Linked DNA regions of Arabidopsis thaliana. The protein of the gene in region 4 interacts with the protein of the main gene of each other region in a biochemical or structural test. Each region holds a gene or a part of one and is shown on either strand. Other genes may lie near its edges. The genes, in order: TIFY10B, JAZ11, JAZ5 and MYC3.

Evidence for each region.
Region 1: the proteins of MYC3 (region 4) and TIFY10B form a complex in vitro, tested with the Arabidopsis thaliana proteins (one study listed by BioGRID).
Region 2: the proteins of MYC3 (region 4) and JAZ11 form a complex in vitro, tested with the Arabidopsis thaliana proteins (one study listed by BioGRID).
Region 3: the proteins of MYC3 (region 4) and JAZ5 form a complex in vitro, tested with the Arabidopsis thaliana proteins (one study listed by BioGRID).

Annotation. Positions count from the first base shown.
Region 1 is NC_003070.9:28,148,046-28,152,213, reverse strand, and holds TIFY10B (TIFY domain/Divergent CCT motif family protein), read left to right. Parts: upstream 1-1,767; 5' UTR 1,768-1,955; coding exon 1,956-2,103; intron 2,104-2,422; coding exon 2,423-2,600; intron 2,601-2,692; coding exon 2,693-2,970; intron 2,971-3,057; coding exon 3,058-3,115; coding exon of another isoform or gene 3,116-3,119; exon of another isoform or gene 3,120-3,207; coding exon 3,208-3,295; 3' UTR 3,296-3,639; downstream 3,640-4,168. UniProt on the Arabidopsis thaliana protein: Repressor of jasmonate responses. Jasmonoyl-isoleucine (JA-Ile) specifically promotes COI1-TIFY10B/JAZ2 interaction. Activated by MYC2, MYC3 and MYC4 transcription factors.
Region 2 is NC_003074.8:15,365,821-15,370,685, forward strand, and holds JAZ11 (jasmonate-zim-domain protein 11), read left to right. Parts: upstream 1-1,725; 5' UTR 1,726-1,849; coding exon 1,850-1,956; intron 1,957-2,182; coding exon 2,183-2,267; intron 2,268-2,362; coding exon 2,363-2,465; intron 2,466-2,540; coding exon 2,541-2,598; intron 2,599-3,281; coding exon 3,282-3,378; intron 3,379-3,475; coding exon 3,476-3,608; intron 3,609-3,701; coding exon 3,702-3,759; intron 3,760-3,878; coding exon 3,879-3,954; 3' UTR 3,955-4,337; downstream 4,338-4,865. UniProt on the Arabidopsis thaliana protein: Repressor of jasmonate (JA) responses. Targets MYC2, MYC3 and MYC4 that are JA-dependent transcription activators.
Region 3 is NC_003070.9:5,954,631-5,959,333, forward strand, and holds JAZ5 (jasmonate-zim-domain protein 5), read right to left. Parts: upstream 2,882-4,703; 5' UTR 2,441-2,881; coding exon 2,263-2,440; exon of another isoform or gene 2,049-2,262; coding exon of another isoform or gene 1,958-2,048; coding exon 1,867-1,957; intron 1,747-1,866; coding exon 1,423-1,746; coding exon of another isoform or gene 1,356-1,422; exon of another isoform or gene 1,256-1,355; coding exon 1,024-1,255; 3' UTR 525-1,023; downstream 1-524. Other genes in the region: UBP1B (oligouridylate binding protein 1B), read right to left, coding at 91-195. UniProt on the Arabidopsis thaliana protein: Repressor of jasmonate responses.
Region 4 is NC_003076.8:18,972,267-18,977,147, reverse strand, and holds MYC3 (Basic helix-loop-helix (bHLH) DNA-binding family protein), read right to left. Parts: upstream 3,127-4,881; 5' UTR 2,918-3,126; coding exon 1,139-2,917; 3' UTR 558-1,138; downstream 1-557. UniProt on the Arabidopsis thaliana protein: Transcription factor involved in tryptophan, jasmonic acid (JA) and other stress-responsive gene regulation. With MYC2 and MYC4, controls additively subsets of JA-dependent responses.

The DNA.
Region 1 (4,168 bases), on a different chromosome or scaffold from region 4:
GTTCAACTACCAAGAGCTAAGCTAAGTTTCTTAGGATCAAGATCTGATGAGCCAAAGACTTGGACAGGAGCTAAAACGTGCTAGAGATATCAGAGTTTGGATTCGCCATTAAAATTCTGTTTCTTGTGATACCTTCTTATTGGAAATCTTTGTAGTCTTTACATTTCTATTGTTTAACATGAAATCTCAAAAAATGCCAAATCAATTCTCAATTTTAAATTTAGTAGCTCTTGACAGTTTTCCCTTTGTTAATTACATATATAGAGAGTAACTAAATCATCTTTTGAAAGGTAAAAACTAAAAAAATATATTCCAAGGGCCCAATGTTTTACCACTTTCATATGTAAGCTTATTTTCTGTTAAATATGTGAAAGAAAGAAGAGGAATGAATCAGCTGTGAAAACCAAGAGCAAGTATAAAAACATGGCTAAAAGGGTATCAATCAGCCTTGTATAAGAGAGCCATAAGTAGATAAAGTTTCTACAGTAAAAACAGGAATATAGAGTACTATTCCTTAATTAGCTTATGTTCTTCTATTCTTCTTGTGACCTCTATCTTGCATTTTTGTGACCACCCCACTTGCCTTCTTCTTTTTGGTTGCATACTCTAAATAATATCCAGACTTTGATGTCTTTATGCGCTCTGGGTTCTTCTTGTGACCCCTCTTCCTTGTAATTGTATGTACCTGCAGCTTCTTCTGATTTTGTTTCTTATGGATATGTTTGTGATGTATAAAATTTTGTGAAGATGTTTATAAAACAGTTAAAAACCAAATTAACCAATCATCCTTATTTTCTCACGAGCCACTCTATGAACCTTACGTTATCTCGATGTACCTGTAATGAGTTAGCAATTACTACAATCCAAGTCAATAAAATAACAAGTTGGACGTTACGTTATAAAAGAAAATCAAACTTATTTGTGTGTTCCTAACAAACGCATGGGATAATAACAAGAGAATAAAAGACAGAGTGATAGGATCAACGGCTATTGTGCGTAGGAGAACACAGCTGCTATATAAGCCGCGTAACAGGTGATTACTCTGACTACGACACCAACAAGAAAAATTCTCTCAAATGTGGGCAGTTAAGTTAGACACGTGTAAGGTCGCGATTCATGGAGGAGACGTGCTCTTCCCGCTTTTTGTAATTATTTATTACTGTTGTCATAAATAAAACACTAAAAAAAAATTAATAAAAGGGAAAATACAAAACGTGATTTATGGATCAAATTTGCATTGGTGGTGGAGTTTTGGTTATGTAAGACCCACACCGTGTTCCCTCTATCTAACGCCGTTAATCCTCTTTTTTCCCCCAAATCATACCGTTAATTCTCTTTGAGTGCTAAAATATCACGCCGGTCTATGAGATTAAAATAGTAGACTAATTAATAGTGCTAAAAATACATAAATTAATGCCAAGAGATTCATCTTAAAAAAAAGGATATATGAACCAACTAAATGGTATAACTGAAAGACTATCATAATCAAATTTCATCTGAACATTGATTTGTTTGAACTAATTAATTTTAGGATTTTACGTTTTCATAATTTTTTATTTTATTTGAACATCTTGTAAGGGTAAAATGGTAAAAACAGGAGTAGTAAGAGGGTGAAATGGTTATTTCAAGTGTGAAGCGTGGGGACGTGGGTGACGGTGGTGATCTGAAACAGTGGTCTGCCGTTAAAACATTAAATTAAAACACGTGTTTTAAATGTCTCTATGTTAATTAATACTATAAGAGTATATTTTACTAATTTCCGTATCTGCAACCAGCGAAAAAAAAGTAATAAAGAGGTCCTCCATTTCTTCCTCGTGACAAAACGCACTTGGCAGAGAAAGATAAACAAGAACCCTAAGTTTTTTTATAAGATTCGAGAAAATTCAACAACTCAGGAAGGAAGATCCTTTTGCTCCAATTTCTCAATCGAAACGATTTCAATTTCGGTTTCAACGATGTCGAGTTTTTCTGCCGAGTGTTGGGACTTCTCTGGTCGTAAACCGAGCTTTTCACAAACATGTACTCGATTGAGTCGTTACCTGAAGGAGAAGGGTAGTTTTGGAGATCTGAGCTTAGGGATGACATGCAAGCCCGACGTTAATGGTAATCAACCTTTCTCTTTTAGATCTGTTCATTTCGTTTCTGCGAATTTTGAGTTTCCTGTTGCGAATTACGAATTATGAATCGATTACATGTTGTCTGGAAATTGAATCGTTGTAGAGAATCGATGATTAATGGATTTTGAATCAATTTCTATATATGTATGTATGTGTATGAATTTGTGGAGATGGTTCTGTGTTTGGTTTAAGCATAATCCTCTAAAGCCATAGGCCTGGTTTAGTCATTAAGTAGATTTTGTTTTGCAGTTGTTTGAGAGATTGGTGAATGATAATAATCTTTACTTTTGGATCAATTTTCGCAGGAGGTTCACGTCAGCCTACAATGATGAATCTGTTCCCTTGTGAAGCTTCAGGAATGGATTCTTCTGCTGGTCAAGAAGACATTAAACCGAAGACTATGTTTCCGAGACAATCAAGCTTTTCTTCTTCCTCTTCCTCTGGGACCAAAGAAGATGTACAGATGATCAAAGAGACTACTAAGTATGTGTTTATATGTATATAGTGAAAAGAATCGTCTCATATAGTAAGCTATGTTTCATCAGTTTAACTAATTTTTGTGTGATTTTGAACAGATCTGTGAAGCCAGAGTCTCAATCTGCTCCGTTGACTATATTCTACGGTGGTCGAGTTATGGTGTTTGATGATTTTTCTGCTGAGAAAGCTAAAGAAGTCATTGATTTGGCTAACAAAGGAAGTGCCAAAAGCTTCACATGTTTCACAGCTGAAGTAAACAATAACCATAGTGCTTATTCTCAAAAAGAGATTGCTTCTAGCCCAAATCCTGTTTGTAGTCCTGCAAAAACCGCAGCACAAGAGCCAATTCAGCCTAACCCGGCCTCTTTAGCCTGCGGTAATTGATCTCAGCCTCTTTTGGTTCAACCATCTCTGAGCTTGGCTTAGTCCTATTTCTCTAACTTTCTCTCTTTTTGATTTGTAGAACTCCCGATTGCAAGAAGAGCTTCACTTCATCGGTTCCTTGAGAAGAGGAAGGATAGGTAATGCATTTTAATGAAAACATAATATCTTGTTATTCCATAAGTTCTTGTTAAGCGAATTTCTCAATATCCTACTCGTAAACCTTTAACAGGATCACATCAAAGGCACCATACCAAATAGACGGTTCAGCTGAAGCGTCTTCCAAGCCTACTAACCCAGCTTGGCTCAGTTCACGGTAAACTTCGAGCCTGTCCGACCCAGAAGGCACAACTTGAGAGACCTTCTTGTAAGATTCTTCTGATGCTCCATCGTTACAAATATCAAGCTGCTCCTCTGTTCATTTTTTCTATAGATTAATTTCACCCCTAGTAGTTTTGTTTGTTTAACTCCCCCGAAAACTCATTATATTTGTATGAAATCAATATCAATAGTGTTCAATGTTTGCTTCTGGGGTTTAAGTTTTAGCCAGTGTGTATAACCCTTTCCTCTGCCGATCTCAACATTAGCTTGCAACTTTTGTAAGAAACATCACTTGTGTTTTTGTGTTGATGGCCATTAATATAATCCAAGTTTATTTAATCCGATTGTTTGTTCGTCACTTATTGAGAGCTGAAGCTTACAGTTAAGGAACAGAAATACTTAAAGCATTCTCGAAAATAAAGAAATGTCTAAAAAATGATGATTTTCTATCAAGTATTGTCGTGTGAAAGATTTTCTTTAACAAGTCTGCTATTGTTCAAAATACGTTTTAACCTATCTATCCATTATAGTATTAGCATTTTCGTTTTGTTGTTAAATACATGGCACAAACTATGTAGACTATTTTTGGTTAAAATACCAAGCCAGTTACAATTTTGTTTTTCCCAAAATACTAGTTATAACTTTGTAAAATATCCGAAGTCCATAATAAAAAGAGCTTCATAAATATCCAATAAGTGGAGTAGATCAGACCAGGCTTGGTAGGCCACGGGAATTCTGACCCACGATAACTTTTTTTCGTTCGGTCTTGAACAATGATTTGTTCGGTCTTGAACAATGATCATCCAACTAACAAAACGTAAATTTGGTCCAAAGACTGGTCCGAAATTCGTTATGATTAATAAGCCCGAAGA
Region 2 (4,865 bases), on a different chromosome or scaffold from region 4:
GTTTTCTCTTTTGTTTCGCTGGCCTGATGGCATTCCGACGTTTATGTGTTTTAATATAGTTGGGTTTTATATCTAACATCTCTGTCGTTTTTAGCAGTGATGGCTGGCTCTTGCCTGACAGCGTTCGAATTCCATGACCATCGTTGGCCGGATCTACTTTTCTTATCAGTGTATCTGATGTTTTTTTTTTTTTTTTTCTTTCAATAATCTCATAGATCCTCTATTGGAAATTTAGGTGTTTTTTTGCTTAAAGGTGTTTATTATCCAATTTGATCTTTTGAGTTTGCGATTTGCAGGAATCAATCCAAAGAGTTACATCTTAAGTTGCAGAAAAGAAAACAATTTCATTGCACACTAATATTGCTTTTAGCTGTAAATCTCTATTTTGATGTTCGATTGGTTTATGAACAATGAAACCTAGAAGAATCAAGCTTGCTTTTATAATCAATGATGATTTTTCTCACTGGAATCGATCTCAGATGGCGAATGATCTACAATTGAGGCTATTTGTCTAATTGATCTATGGACACGAGTGTTTTCCTTTTTGTTTTTAGGTGTTGCTGAAAAGCTCCATCGGCTTAATATCTACGTTGATGTTCTTTGGAGTTCGGGAGTCATTGCCCTTGTGAAGATCTTTTCTTTACAGATTTGATGATGTAGTTGGTAGGATTCTCTAGTTAAAAACCTGTGGACTTATTTCTTGAAGCTCTGACGGTTTTCGGTAGTTTTGGAGTTCCCTTACGCTTCGTACCATATCGGCTATGAGCGGCGAACGGCGACAACATCTACTTCAACTTTACTTCATAGGCTCACACATGGTTTTGTGTTGGATTTGTTATATTTCTTAGTTCCTTAAAGGGGTATCTTTATGGATTGGACTTTTTAAGTTGGGTCTCCGCTTATAAGCTGAATTGTTGGTGAAGTGGAAGCTTCCACTGTTGTACCTTTTACGACATAGAGTTTTAAATAGAAGAGAAAATTCCCAAAAAAAACTTCAACTATTAAAATTTGCCAAAAAAACCTCAACTTTTTCGGTTGTCAAAAAACTCAAACTAATTTATTAGTGACAAATAAAACCCAAACTAGAAATATTGGCAGATTATACATACGCTCTAAAAACAAATTATAGTTTTATCCTTAAAAAATTAATTCTTTTTTTTTTGAAACGAAAAGAAATTTCTTATTTACTTTGTATTTTTTTAGTTTATACGTTTTTGCCTTTTTGGAAATTATCATAGAAAAATGATATGAGTGTCTCATTTTTAATTCTCTTTTCATATATTTTTACTTTTTAGATTTTCAAACTTTAAAAACCAAATCGTTTCTCTATTTCTTTTTTTTTTGCTTATTTCTTTCTAATTTTTGGTTCCTCAATATCAAAATGATTCAATGTTCTTCGACTAATTTACATATTTTGATTTTTTCATCATAATTATATAGTTAGCTTTGTGTTAATATATCTTATTTAATTTATTTTAGCAATACGATAACGGCGGTATGCATGTACTAAAAAGGATGCGTAAAGAGTATTAAGTTTTTCACATCGAACAAAATTGTCCACTATTTTATTTTTTTAAATAGTTGTCTATATTACAAGAACAAATGAAAATAAATAGGTATTATTAGATAAGTAGTTTTTTTTTTTGGTAAGGCATTATTACTTATTAGATAAGTAGTTAGATATATAAAATAATCAAATAGTTGAGGTTTTTTTGGAATATTTCTGAGAAAAACAAAAAGAAAACAAAATTGATTGAATAATGAATACACCGAATAACGAACGTTGCGTAGAGAAGAGAACCAATTCCCAATCAAACGGAGAAGACAGATATTATTCACAGAGAGGCTCATGGCTGAGGTAAACGGAGATTTCCCCGTTCCTAGTTTCGCCGACGGGACCGGTTCTGTTTCCGCCGGACTTGACTTGCTCGTTGAGAGATCGATTCACGAAGCTAGGTATGTATCACTAGTAACTGGAATCAATTTGAATCGTTAATTCTCATTTCTCTTTATCTGTCTTTGTGTTTGAAGTTTTTTCTTAGCCTATAGTTCTGTGATTTGTTAGTTCTTAGTACACTATAGGAGCGTGAGCAATTGACGAGACTTGGATCTATATGAATTGTTAAATTAGCAGATCAATTTGGGAAACTCAAGAGGTTTAATTTCAAACTCTTGTTTCAAGGTCCACAGAGCCAGATGCTTCAACTCAACTTACTATTATCTTTGGTGGGAGTTGTAGAGTCTTCAATGGTGTCCCTGCACAAAAGGTTTGGTCCATCTAGCTTTGAGTACATACATTCTGATTTTGTTTATGTTGGTTGCATCAGAGTTTCTAATTGTATTGGTGATCAATGCTTAATAGGTTCAAGAAATCATTCGCATCGCTTTTGCTGGTAAACAGACGAAGAATGTGACCGGTATCAATCCAGCACTGAACAGAGCTCTTTCTTTCTCAACTGTAGCTGGTAAGCAATTGCTTCATTCGGTTACTGTAAGCATTATCTACGGAGTTACGGACTATTAATCCCTGTTTGTCTCAGATCTTCCAATTGCTAGGAGACGTTCGCTTCAAAGATTTCTCGAGAAGAGACGGGACAGGTAGTTAGATATTCAGTGTTTGCTTTATTAACATATTGATAGTTCTGGAAGTGTTAGTGTGTATGAATCTGATTTGTTAGTATGTATTAGTTTGTGACGTCAAATATTGTTCTTGCATTTAGGAATTTTCATGTGTAGGTAGGTTGTTGAAGCTTAAGCAAATGAAGAGACTGGATCTATGTGAATGTTAATTTGTATACATTGACTGGTTTCGGAAACTGAGATAGTCTTTTAGTTTTTTTTCTTACAAGTGTTTAAGCTTTTATTCTCATGTATTATTCTACTTCTATATCATATTTGGCTGACTTATGGCCACCAGATAATTGTGTATTTCTTAGTGATCATGCCTCACAAATACATTAGATGTTGTTGCCCATTCTTTAGTATCGGTTTTATGAGCTTGAATTTGAACTAGGCTTGTGTGTTTGATTTTGGTACCGTTGAATGCAAAAATAGCCTTCTATCTACTGTTAGATGACATCATCAGATGATTTAAATTTAGTAGGTTGTTTGAACTGATGTATTGATGGGACTGAGGTTAGTTGATAGCCTAAGCGGCTGTAATATTGTAGTGGAATCACTATTTTGTTCTTCTCCCTTTTGCATCAATAGGGTCTTAAAATTTGGGTGGATTATTATTATCTTCCATCATTCATAACTAGCTCTTGTTTCTTCTATTGAAGGTCCACGAAGCCAGATGGTTCAATGATCCTTCCAAGTCAACTAACCATTATTTTTGGTGGGAGTTTTAGCGTATTTGATGGTATTCCAGCTGAAAAGGTTTGGTCCATCCAAGTTTTGAGTACATTCGTATTTCGTTTTTGTTGGGAAGCAGTTGCATGAGATTTCTTGTTCTCTTGGTGATCACACTTAATAGGTTCAAGAAATTCTGCATATCGCTGCTGCAGCTAAAGCCACTGAGACAATTAATTTGACCAGTATAAATCCAGCATTAAAGAGAGCTATTTCATTCTCAAACGCATCAACAGTAGCTTGCGTATCGACAGCAGGTAAGGACTTGCTACATTGGATTACCGTAAACGTTATATAGTCCGAGTATGGAAAACCCCATGAGCTTTATGTAAGATGCATGTTTATCTCAGATGTGCCAATTGCTAGGAGACGTTCACTTCAAAGATTTTTTGAGAAAAGACGGCATCGGTAGGCATATCTGCAGTGCTTGTTTTATAAACATATACTCTCATCTTTCTCCATCACTCACCTATGAGTTTGACCATTAGATTTCATCTAATAGTAACTTGGACCCTCTTTATTTTCAGATTTGTCCACACGAAGCCTTACTCTGCTACGACTTCGGAAGCAGACAAAAATGAAACCAGCCCCATTGTGACATGAGCTCCAAGACTGTAAGCTAACCTCAAACCTTACTTTCGAAGCAACTCAGTATCACAGTTATCTTTGACAAGATTAACACAGCTCATATATAAGCCTTCCGTTGTTGTACGATAATCATCTGCCTATGTTTCTTAGACAAAACACAAAATTGTTTTCCATGTTTGTGATTTGATGTGTTTATCATCTCGCACCTCCTCTTTGAGGAAGATGATTTCTTTTTCTTCACAATGTATGTTGATGCTGTATGATAAGGTCTCAGAGCTATATAAGAACACAAGAGTACTCAAAAATGACCATGAAAGACTTAGTGTCCTTATAAGCAAATCACGACCAAGAAACATACAGAGAAATCATCAAATACTAACCGGAGAGATTAGTAGGGACCTCAGATCAAAATTTTCAGGTCTGGTTAGGCATGTGATTATTACCAGAACCAAAATTTTCAAACCAAGCCAATCCAGTTTTTGGTCATTTCAATTTAGGGTCGGTCACTAAAAGTGAACAGGTCGGCATAATTTTTTAGTACATATATTTAACATGTGCCCAAGTTATGACAAACGATGAAACATAACATATTTATTATAAATGATTTATACATCATAACTCATAAAAACATCAAAATTATGAAATATTTTGGTAGCGCTACCATAACCACTCAATCATCCGACTGAAATCATCAAAATAAAAAAATATTTTCTAACTTTTTTTATATTTACATAAATATATCTACAAAATGATCCCGTATAAACTTGTAATAAATTATATATGTGCATTTTTCAAGACCAAATCTCTAAGATCAAAGACTAATGCTACCACATCATTCAACGAAACAATGCAAATAAATTTTGGGATAACTTTAACTTTGATCATCTTTTAAAGTATTTAAGGATTTTACATACAAATTTGTAATT
Region 3 (4,703 bases), on a different chromosome or scaffold from region 4:
AAAAGAGAGAAAAACCAGTGAAATCGAGCTTGGGAAAAAGAGCCTAGAAACCCAAATCGAGCATGGAAATGGAAGAAGAATAGAGCAAACCTGTGGCGGGGCAAGGAGACCAGGATGGTAGAGAGACTGTTGCTGCATAAGAGCTTGCTGCATCATAACTTGTTGCTGCTGCTGCTGCTGCTTCAACCTCTGCATTTTCTCTCTCGGGGAAAAAATTATTGTCTTTGATTTTGCTTTTCGTTCCCAGGTAATGAAAATTGACACAGTGTTCTGTCTTTTAGGGTTCGAAAGTGTTTTCGGTGTTCGAGAAAAATGTAAGAAAAATGACAAAATATTAATAACAAAAAAAAAATGAAGAACAGGAAAAAAAAAAGGAAGTCTCTTGATAGAAAGCGAAGGAAGCAATCGAGTGGCTCTTACGAATTTTATTGGATTTATTATTTTTACACATCGATTAGCTAAAGTCACAGGCTGTAAGAAAATTTAAAAAGCAACAGCCAATGAACTCGTCCCACGTTAAACTTATGGCTCAGGCCCAATCACTGTCCAAATCAGACACGCCTTCAATGAACTTGAACCTGACAACTAATTACAATAAACACCCCTGAGTTTAGTGAAAACTTGATATACACTCCAATAATAATCATTTTCATAAATTACACCCTAAATAAATTAGAAAGGAGCTCTGATCACTTTCAACCATCTTTACCCGCATTACGATTGCAGTCAGATTCCTCTTCATGTTATTGCAGTCAGATCAATTCACAACTCCTAAATATTCTTCCTCTTGTCTAATTTGCTATTTCTCGCTTAACGTTATGTAATTTAACTCCCAAGTGTTGTACGTAGTTAACTAATTATAATATAACTTTACTATCGTCTATTGTGTTTATGAATGAATATTCAAGTTAGAATAAGATTACATACTGTAGTACAAAGCAAAATAAAATCACTTAGATAAGTCAGAAAAATCGAAACGTTAATCTAAAAACTCAGTTCCTACAAGAAATTTAGCAAATATTACTATAGCCTTAGATCGAGATCTTTCGAACTTTGGCCTTCTTCAATCTTCATAATATCATCTTTATCACCGTCTGATTTGATATGGGCCATGGTTTGACCAATGGCGTTATCCGGCGGTCTTTGTGACGACTGTCCTGCCTCTAGTGGTTGACCGGTTACAATCTCTGGCTTGGGAGGATAACGATGATGACCTGCGTTTTGGTTAACTTGGTACGGAGCCCTAGCCACAGCTCTGCAACAGAAAAATTAATAACGTAAATTACGAGGCTTGTTGAGGATAATTTAGGAGAACTTATATCAGAGGGAGGATCCTTAAACTTTTGAGTTTTGAACTAACTAGAGTGATTGGAAATTTGGAACATTAAAACAAGTTTCAAAAAGTATGATAAGGTTAAATACCTGTCTTTCCGTTTAGCAAAGAATCGATGGAGGGAAGCTCTACGTGCTATACGTTCCACGATCTGATTTTGTTCTTGTTGCTGTTGTTGTTCCTTTGTTAGGTGATTATTATCAGTAGGCTCATTGAGATCAGGAAGAACCATGCTGCTCTTGTTGTTGTTGTTTTCGTCATTGATTGGTGTCTGAATGTTAATCTCAGTCACAGGCTTGGCTTGTTTTGCTACTTCCATAATCTCTTTAGCTTTGTCTACGGGGAACTCATTATATACTAAAACTTTCCCTCCGAAGAATATGGTCAGCTGCGAACTTCCTGGCTGTGATTCACTGCAAACCAAAAACAGATTTCAGAACAAAACCAATTTTAACCGGATTAACCGATTATCCTTTTCTCTAATCTCCAATAACCAAAAACAACAAGTATTCCCAAGGAACAAAAGGAGAGACCTGAGGTCAGCAACATCTTTGACTTTGCCTCCTGATGAGGTAGAGGGTTCGCCTTTGGAATGCCCTGCCTTATGCATCGCATTTTGTTTCCCTGCATAAAGAGAATAAAAACTTTCGTGAACTATAATAACTTTAGAAAAATGATATAGCATCTTATATCTTTGGAATTTTATTAACCACATCTCAATCAATTTCTATATCAACTTATTCGTTATTTTTGTTACTTGTCTTCATAATTACAAGGAGAAATTATTTCTGAAGTAAGGAACTGACTTACAAATGAAGAAACAATACAAAAGTAGTAAATCTGGCAAAAGCAAGTAGTAACAGAACTGAGTTTTTAAAGTACTATTACCAAGTGGCGGCCATGAAAGAAGAAAGAGATAATAAAAGTACCTGGTGGATCGAATTTTCCGGGCAACGCGAGACTGGAATCGGGTTTTCGGTATAAGCCAAGATCAATGTTTCCGAAACTACCCTTCTCCTTCAAGTAACGGCTGAGCAAACTACATCTCCGGGTAAAGTCAGATTTCTCCGGCGCTTGTGCCTTAGCATTTTCATTGCTCGACGACATGTTGTTGTTTATTGAGAAGAAAGAATTCTCCACACTTACTTTTTAAAGATATTCTTTATCTCTTCTTTTCTTTTCTTTTTGTTGGTGCGTGGATTGCGCGTAAAATGGAAGAGTACAAGAGGCTACTAGCTCAATAGCTCATGTGTTTATAAACTCATTCACCCAATAAGTTTCTGTGACTTTAATAGCCTCTCATAAATTAATGAAAACAAAAATAAATAGGAACTTTTTAGTTTCTTAAAAATATTTCAATATATTGTGACCAAAATAGAATTAAACTTCTCAATAATAAATTTATTAACAACAACCAAAAAAACCAAAAAACAAATCTTACATAAAGCCATGAGATTATATCATATTTAGTAATATTCCATCGCATGCATTTTTAACTAGTTAAAGAACTATATCTAGTGTGAAGAAAGGAATTTTCATCCATGATTAATAGTAAGAAAATTAATGTTAATAATCCATCATTGTGCAAGTAATTTATCTATTGTTTTATGAGTTGGTACAACAAATTTATTGCCCTGTCTTATCATAAAAATATGTTCACCTCTTGTTTCTTGTTTGGCACAGTTTAGTTGTCTACCATCAACGGCCAGATTTCAAAATTGGACTACTTTTTTATATATATTTTCGGTTAGAATTTACCGCACGTTTTCCTTACGCGTAACGATAAAAGAGAAAAAGAATAAAGATTTCAGAACCGACGGCAAACGTTATTAAACGGCGTATGTCACAAATTCGTAAAAGACTCGAAATTTGATCGTATTTACAAAATTTGCCCTTCCACAAGAGCACATTACCAACTCCAGTGATGGCATCATCGTAATAGAAACAACTTTCATGGCCTTTTTTTACATCACCGCGACGTTCCTCACGTTAGTTAACAAACTTAACGGCGGTGCGAATTGAATAGTAAGTGGACCAATGTGGGATCCTACCATCAAACCCCTACGAAGTTTCATGTGCCATAAAAATTCAAAGTCTCCGATACGATCCGACAGAAGTTTTTTGATTAAAACACGTGGTTTAAATAGAACAGACCGTCAAGATTGTGACACGTATCGCAATCTGTACGACGCACTAGCAACAGTATCGTGTGAATCGCGTTTTTCCCACTTTCCTATAGAAAGAAAAAAGGAAAAATCTTAAGATCACCTAATCAGTTTGGTCAAAAATAAAATTGATGGATCAATTGACCGAACTGCCCCTTTCACGGATGCCCATAATAATCAATACGTTCGTTGGTTGCTTCAAAACTACGACTCGTTCAAAAAAACGTGTTCGGGGAAAATGATACCAAAGATATAAAAAGTTTAGATGTGACTTAGTTTAATAAGTGTTGTTGATGGGACTAAATGAAGCAAGATTAGAGCAAACCGAGTGATCGGCCAATTGATCGAACCAGATTGTCAAACCGGTTTGGTAACTCGTTACCCCTAGCTACGCCACTACACTACTTGCATTGTTGCAAAGACCAAGTGGCTGTTGTGTTTTGGAAAAAAAAAAAACGTTCTGGGGTTTAGAAAAATTGGGTAGCGAATGGGTCCTTTTGAAAGTGATATTTTTTTTTGTAGAAGAGGGGGGCGAACCCCCATTTTTATTAAAACTGAAAAAACTAAAAAAATTACACTTGAACGTTCCGGGGGTACGCAGACCCCGCTACATCATCGTGAACAATCGACATAACAATATCCGGAGTAGAATTAAACAAATGAAAACCTAACGGTAAAAAAAAAGCATAGTTAGCTAACCCATCCGCGAGACGATTAGCTTCTCTATACACATGCGAAATCCGGACTGACCAGTCCTTTGAAAGTAAGCCATGGCACAACCGCACCAGGAAGGACAGCGGATGCGAATCATCAATCCCTGTCCGAAGAAAACCCACTACCATCTCCGAATCAATCTCCATCTCCAACTGTGTGACACCGCGCTCCCAAGCGATATTTAAACCGTAATATGCTCCCCATAGTTCCGCAAGCGGAGCCGAACAAATTCCAATATTCAACGAAAACCCATAACACCAATTTCCATCCCCGTCTCGAACTACTCCACCTGCTGTAGCTAGTCTCGGGTTACCACGCGAAGCACCATCAGTATTGAGCTTAAACCAACCCACCCTTGGCGGAGACCACGCAATCAATCTCTCCTCCCTAGCTGTCCGCGTCGTCACTCCCATTTTGTGCACATGCGCCTTCCAAACATCCAACGCACGATCCTTAATAAAACGAACCCGATCCCGACACTTCTTGTTCTC
Region 4 (4,881 bases):
CATTACAAAATTATAGTGTGAACGAATGAGTGAACAACTATTTAATATACATATACCTAAGATAGATGAAAGATGGCTATAATTTTCTAACATCCTTTAAAGAGGAGGGGTCAACTTTATGGTACTACATGAAAAGTATTTTTCAATTTATTATGAAAACTTAAGTTGGTGGTTTTTAATTAGAACTCATCAATGGTGGAGAAAAGTAGCTTATTGGCAACTTTCATTGTTGATTATGCAGTAAATGTTCTTCATGTTTGCAGAAAATCAAATGCCTTCACATTTTGGTTTAAACAAAAATTTGAGACTAAACCTACTAGCAAATTTTCGGATTTAAATTCAAATTGTGATACTACAAACTCAGTTCCAAAAAGAATATTCGGAAAATCTTGATTTTTGCGGTATATATGTTACTAAACTACTTAAAGACTAGTCGTTACTAATGTACACAAGACTATAAGAATTAAGAAACATAGGTAGATCACACGGCTCTCTAAACATAGAGATATACTCAAACTCACACATAAGATAAGATAAGATAGGCACTAAAAGACTTCCTACTCATTACTTAAAACTAACAAATCTTTGGTTTAACTTTTAGTTTCTTTTACAAACAAATCACACATGTCTCCACATTTTTGGCATTATAAACAGTTTCCTCATACCCCCTTACAAAGATAAGAGCACTATCTCTAGGCAAAACCCATTTACAACCACTTATTTTCCTCAGCTTTTTGGTACACTACAGTTCATAAATTTGGACCTTTATGTACACTACAAAGTTACAAACTAACAAAAAAATTCAATCATAGAATAAAAAAACTTCAATAGAATTTAGGATCTCACTTAATCTTACTCCATACATATATATACATACAAGTACAACCAAAGATTTTATTATTTCGCTAACTCTCTCTGGTCTTCTAGTCTCCAACTTCCTTCTCACTTAAGGCTTATGATAACACTAAGCTAAGAACTAAGCAAGTTCTCCTAATGAACAACAACATTTAACAACATGAAGCGAGTGATGCAAAATGAGTACTTACTACTTTACAAAAGACCATACATTACCCGCTAAATTCGATCCCATTTCATCGATGAAAACACTAGTTTCCCCTCTTTGATATGCCAACTTTGTTCAATAGTTTTCTCCGACTTTCGTCATCAAAGCAACTTTGAGCTGGTCATGATTGAAAAATTGGCTCCCCATCTTCACCGTAGCTTGTTGAATCATCAAATCATTCACAACGGATAAACTCGCATGATTCACTTCCAAATCCAATTCCTTAAGTGCTTCCATGAACCTAGCACCGGGATGATCTTTCTTGCCGCATTGTACACGTATCATCACATCCCAACCTATGATCTTAACATCAATCTCCATTTCTATAGAACTCGCCGTAGAATCTTGATTCGAACTTTTCCGTTCTTTTGCCCTTGACCCGCAACCTTTCCCATTATTCCCTTCCTTACTCATCCCATCTAGCTTCTTCTGAATCTCCTCTTTATCAGACTCCGCTTGCTGCAGCTTCGACTTAAGCTCATTGATATACGAAATCGCGTCTCCGAGAAGCGAAGCTTTATCCATCTTCGAAACGTTAGGAACAACAGCTCTCAAAGAGTAGAATCTCTGGTTTAACTTCTCTCTTCTCTGCCTCTCTGCTTCAACATGATTCAACGGCTCTTCTCTCCCATTCGCCGGTTTCCTCCCCCGTTTCCTCGGCTTCTTCTCCGGTGGCTCAACAACAATCGCTTCCTTAACAACAGATGCTTCAAGATCAGAATGATCCGAATCATTCGCAGCTGATCTAACCACAGTACTAAACGAAAGCATCCCTTCATCATTATTACTCCCTTTAGATACCGAAGTTCTCTTCTTACTACTCTCATTACCACAGAAACTCAAAGTCTCATTAGATTTCAACAACCCACCTTGAAAGGTCAAATCTTTCTCGACAAGACACGAACTTTGACGATTCTGATTCTCTACAGAGCTAATATCATTCTTCTCAAGCTTAGAAATTTGATGAGAATCAGACTTAGAATTAGAATTCGAGTTATTACCATTATTAACCCTCGCCGGAGATTCGATTCCGGTGTTCGTCGGTTCACTAATCCACAAAGCTGGATCATTCTCTCCTTGATCTGGATTCAGATTAAAACCCCACGAAGAAGCTTCAACACCATTGTTTCCACCACCGTTGTTGAAATTAAACAAGTTGTTAACTTTATGCATCAGATCTGAGCTTTGACTTATAACCTCCGACGAACCAAGCTCAACGACGCCGTTTTGAGTCGCGATACACACCATCGTCTTTAACCCGTAAATCTGACCTTGACCCGCTCTTTCACAACCCGACCCGGTTAAAGCACCAGACCCGGATAACCAAATCACACGAGAGTTTAAGAAAGATTCTCCGGGGAGACCAACACCGTTAACGAAGCTTTGAGTCATCGAAACTAAGAAGAACCATTCAGTATCTGTTACTTCTTCATCGTTTGATTCATCGGAAACCCCAATTCCGCCGGAGATTAACGAGTTAAGCTCACGTATTACTCTTTTCCGATGCTCTTGCTCCGCCGTGTTGGTGTTGTTCTTCTTCTTCTCTTTATCTTCCTCTCCTTTGTAGTAACCATCTCCCCAGCCGAGGATCACTGTGTTATCTCCGGTGGATGAATCGAAGTCGTGTGAGATCTGCCAGAAGATAGCGTAAGTCCAGTTTTCTCCGGCGGATTCTATTAAAGCTTGGAGACGTTGTTGAAGAGTATCTTCGTTGAACTGAGGCTGAGGTGGTTGTTGTGGTGGTGGAGGAAAGAGAGATGAGTGGTGGTTTGTTCCAATGAAAGCTTCCATAGCCGCCGCCGACGCGTCATCGTCGGAGGTCAAGAAGTTGATTGATGATGTTGTGCCGTTCATGTGAACATACGCCGGTTGAAAAGGTGATATTTTCCGGTGAAAGGTGAAGACTTTTTTCCGGTGAGAAGAAGAGAGAGGTGACGTGTAGGGAGGAAAAATCAAAAGAGGGAAAAAGCTAAGCAAATGGCGTTTAGTGATTGTTTGGAGAAGATGATTCTCTCTACAATACTATATTTTATTTTTATTGTTTTTCTAAAACAATTGTAAATAATTTTTTCTTATTTTCTTAAGTTTTTGTTGAGAGTTGCGACATATTATATGACAAAAACCAAACGATAATAATTTGGTTAACTGTTACGAAAACGTAAATAAATTATTCATGGAGTGATAATTCTCGTTTGGACACTGTTTTGTCTGAAACATAACTTAGATCCGTTTATTATCACATAGCCACTTATTGTTTTATGGAGAAAAAACTAATAAATAATCCATTTATGGTGATATAGTGACTTAGAGTTTCGAATATGGACCAATGCTATAATTCAAAATTTCATAAGTTAGAAATCTAAAATATAAATTTTATTTTTCATATAAATTAATATTTTAAACTGCAAAAAAGAATTGCATTTTTAAAAGGAAAAAAATAGATTCTACTCAATTTATATCAATTAAGTTAGGAATTTAAAATAATATTTCAACTGATTTTATGTTAGTTATAGGAAAATAAATATATATGAAAAAACTAAAAGTGTTTTCTTTCTCCAATCATCTTTTTTTTTTAAATATCATTTCATTATGTTCATTTTATTAAAAATCAGTTTGAACCGTTAATATGAAATTTACGTTTTCAAATAATTATCCGGTGTAAATTTTTTTTTGGTGTAATGGTTAACTAAATATCCATTAATACTTCATCACACCATATATGAAGTTTGATTTTCATAGATTACAAATTATTGAAGATTAATGGAAACGATTTCTATCTAGAGATTTTAGTGTGGTGCATAGAACCGTATGTCGTAGTACAGTACCATCTGTCAAACTGTAAAATTGTACAAGCATCGATGTAAAACTATCGGTTGTGGAGTTGACTACGAAAACCATAAAAAGAAAACTCAAAAAATGATTTGCTAGTCCTAAAAATTATTTGTAATATATATTCAAATAATAATGTATCCAACAACATAGCAACTTCCGTTCAATTTTTGAAAGAGGAAGAAATTAACGTATAAAATTTGTATTTTCTCTATAAAATTCATATTCGAATTTATTTTTTCTTAGACATTTTAAATTGTTTTTTTCTTTTTTTAAATATTGGAATTATGTTGTGTAGCCCACTTTAATTGTTTGGGTCCTCTGTCTAGGCATCGTCTGTCTGCTTTCCATGTTTCTGTCACCATAATTGACATATCTATTTATTAACAATCTTCATATTTTTGTCACGGTATACTGTAAGTTTTCTTTAACCACATTTTTTTCATCAAATTTTTTATCGTTTGGCTAAAACTATAATGACCAACCAAAGTATATAATTTTTTAAAACGTTACATATGATTTTTTTGTCAAAGTTACACATGATTATTGACAAAGAACTACACATGATAATGCCAACCATTACTTATAAACAAAATATCCAGAAAAAAAAAGAAAGAAGAAGAAAAGTAGTCAGTGAAAAGGACAACATGTACAATAATATTCAATGGTTAATCACGATGGCTAAAATGATCCAGCTCACGTGATTCTCGTGGATGATGTAATTACAAAACGACTTTAGACCCACTAATCGTACACTAACATATGATTATTGACATTACATAATAAAATATCTCTACTTCTTGCCAGTTTTCTTACAAGACATTGATAAACATGTTACATGTCACAGAAACATTGTATCAAGTAAAAAGTTTTACTTTATCAAAAAAGAAAGAAAGTAAAAGGTTCGAGAGGAATTAGTGAAGATAACCTAATTTAATACCTTAATGTACTTCCATAACAAGTCGATTTTTTGGATTTAACAATTATTT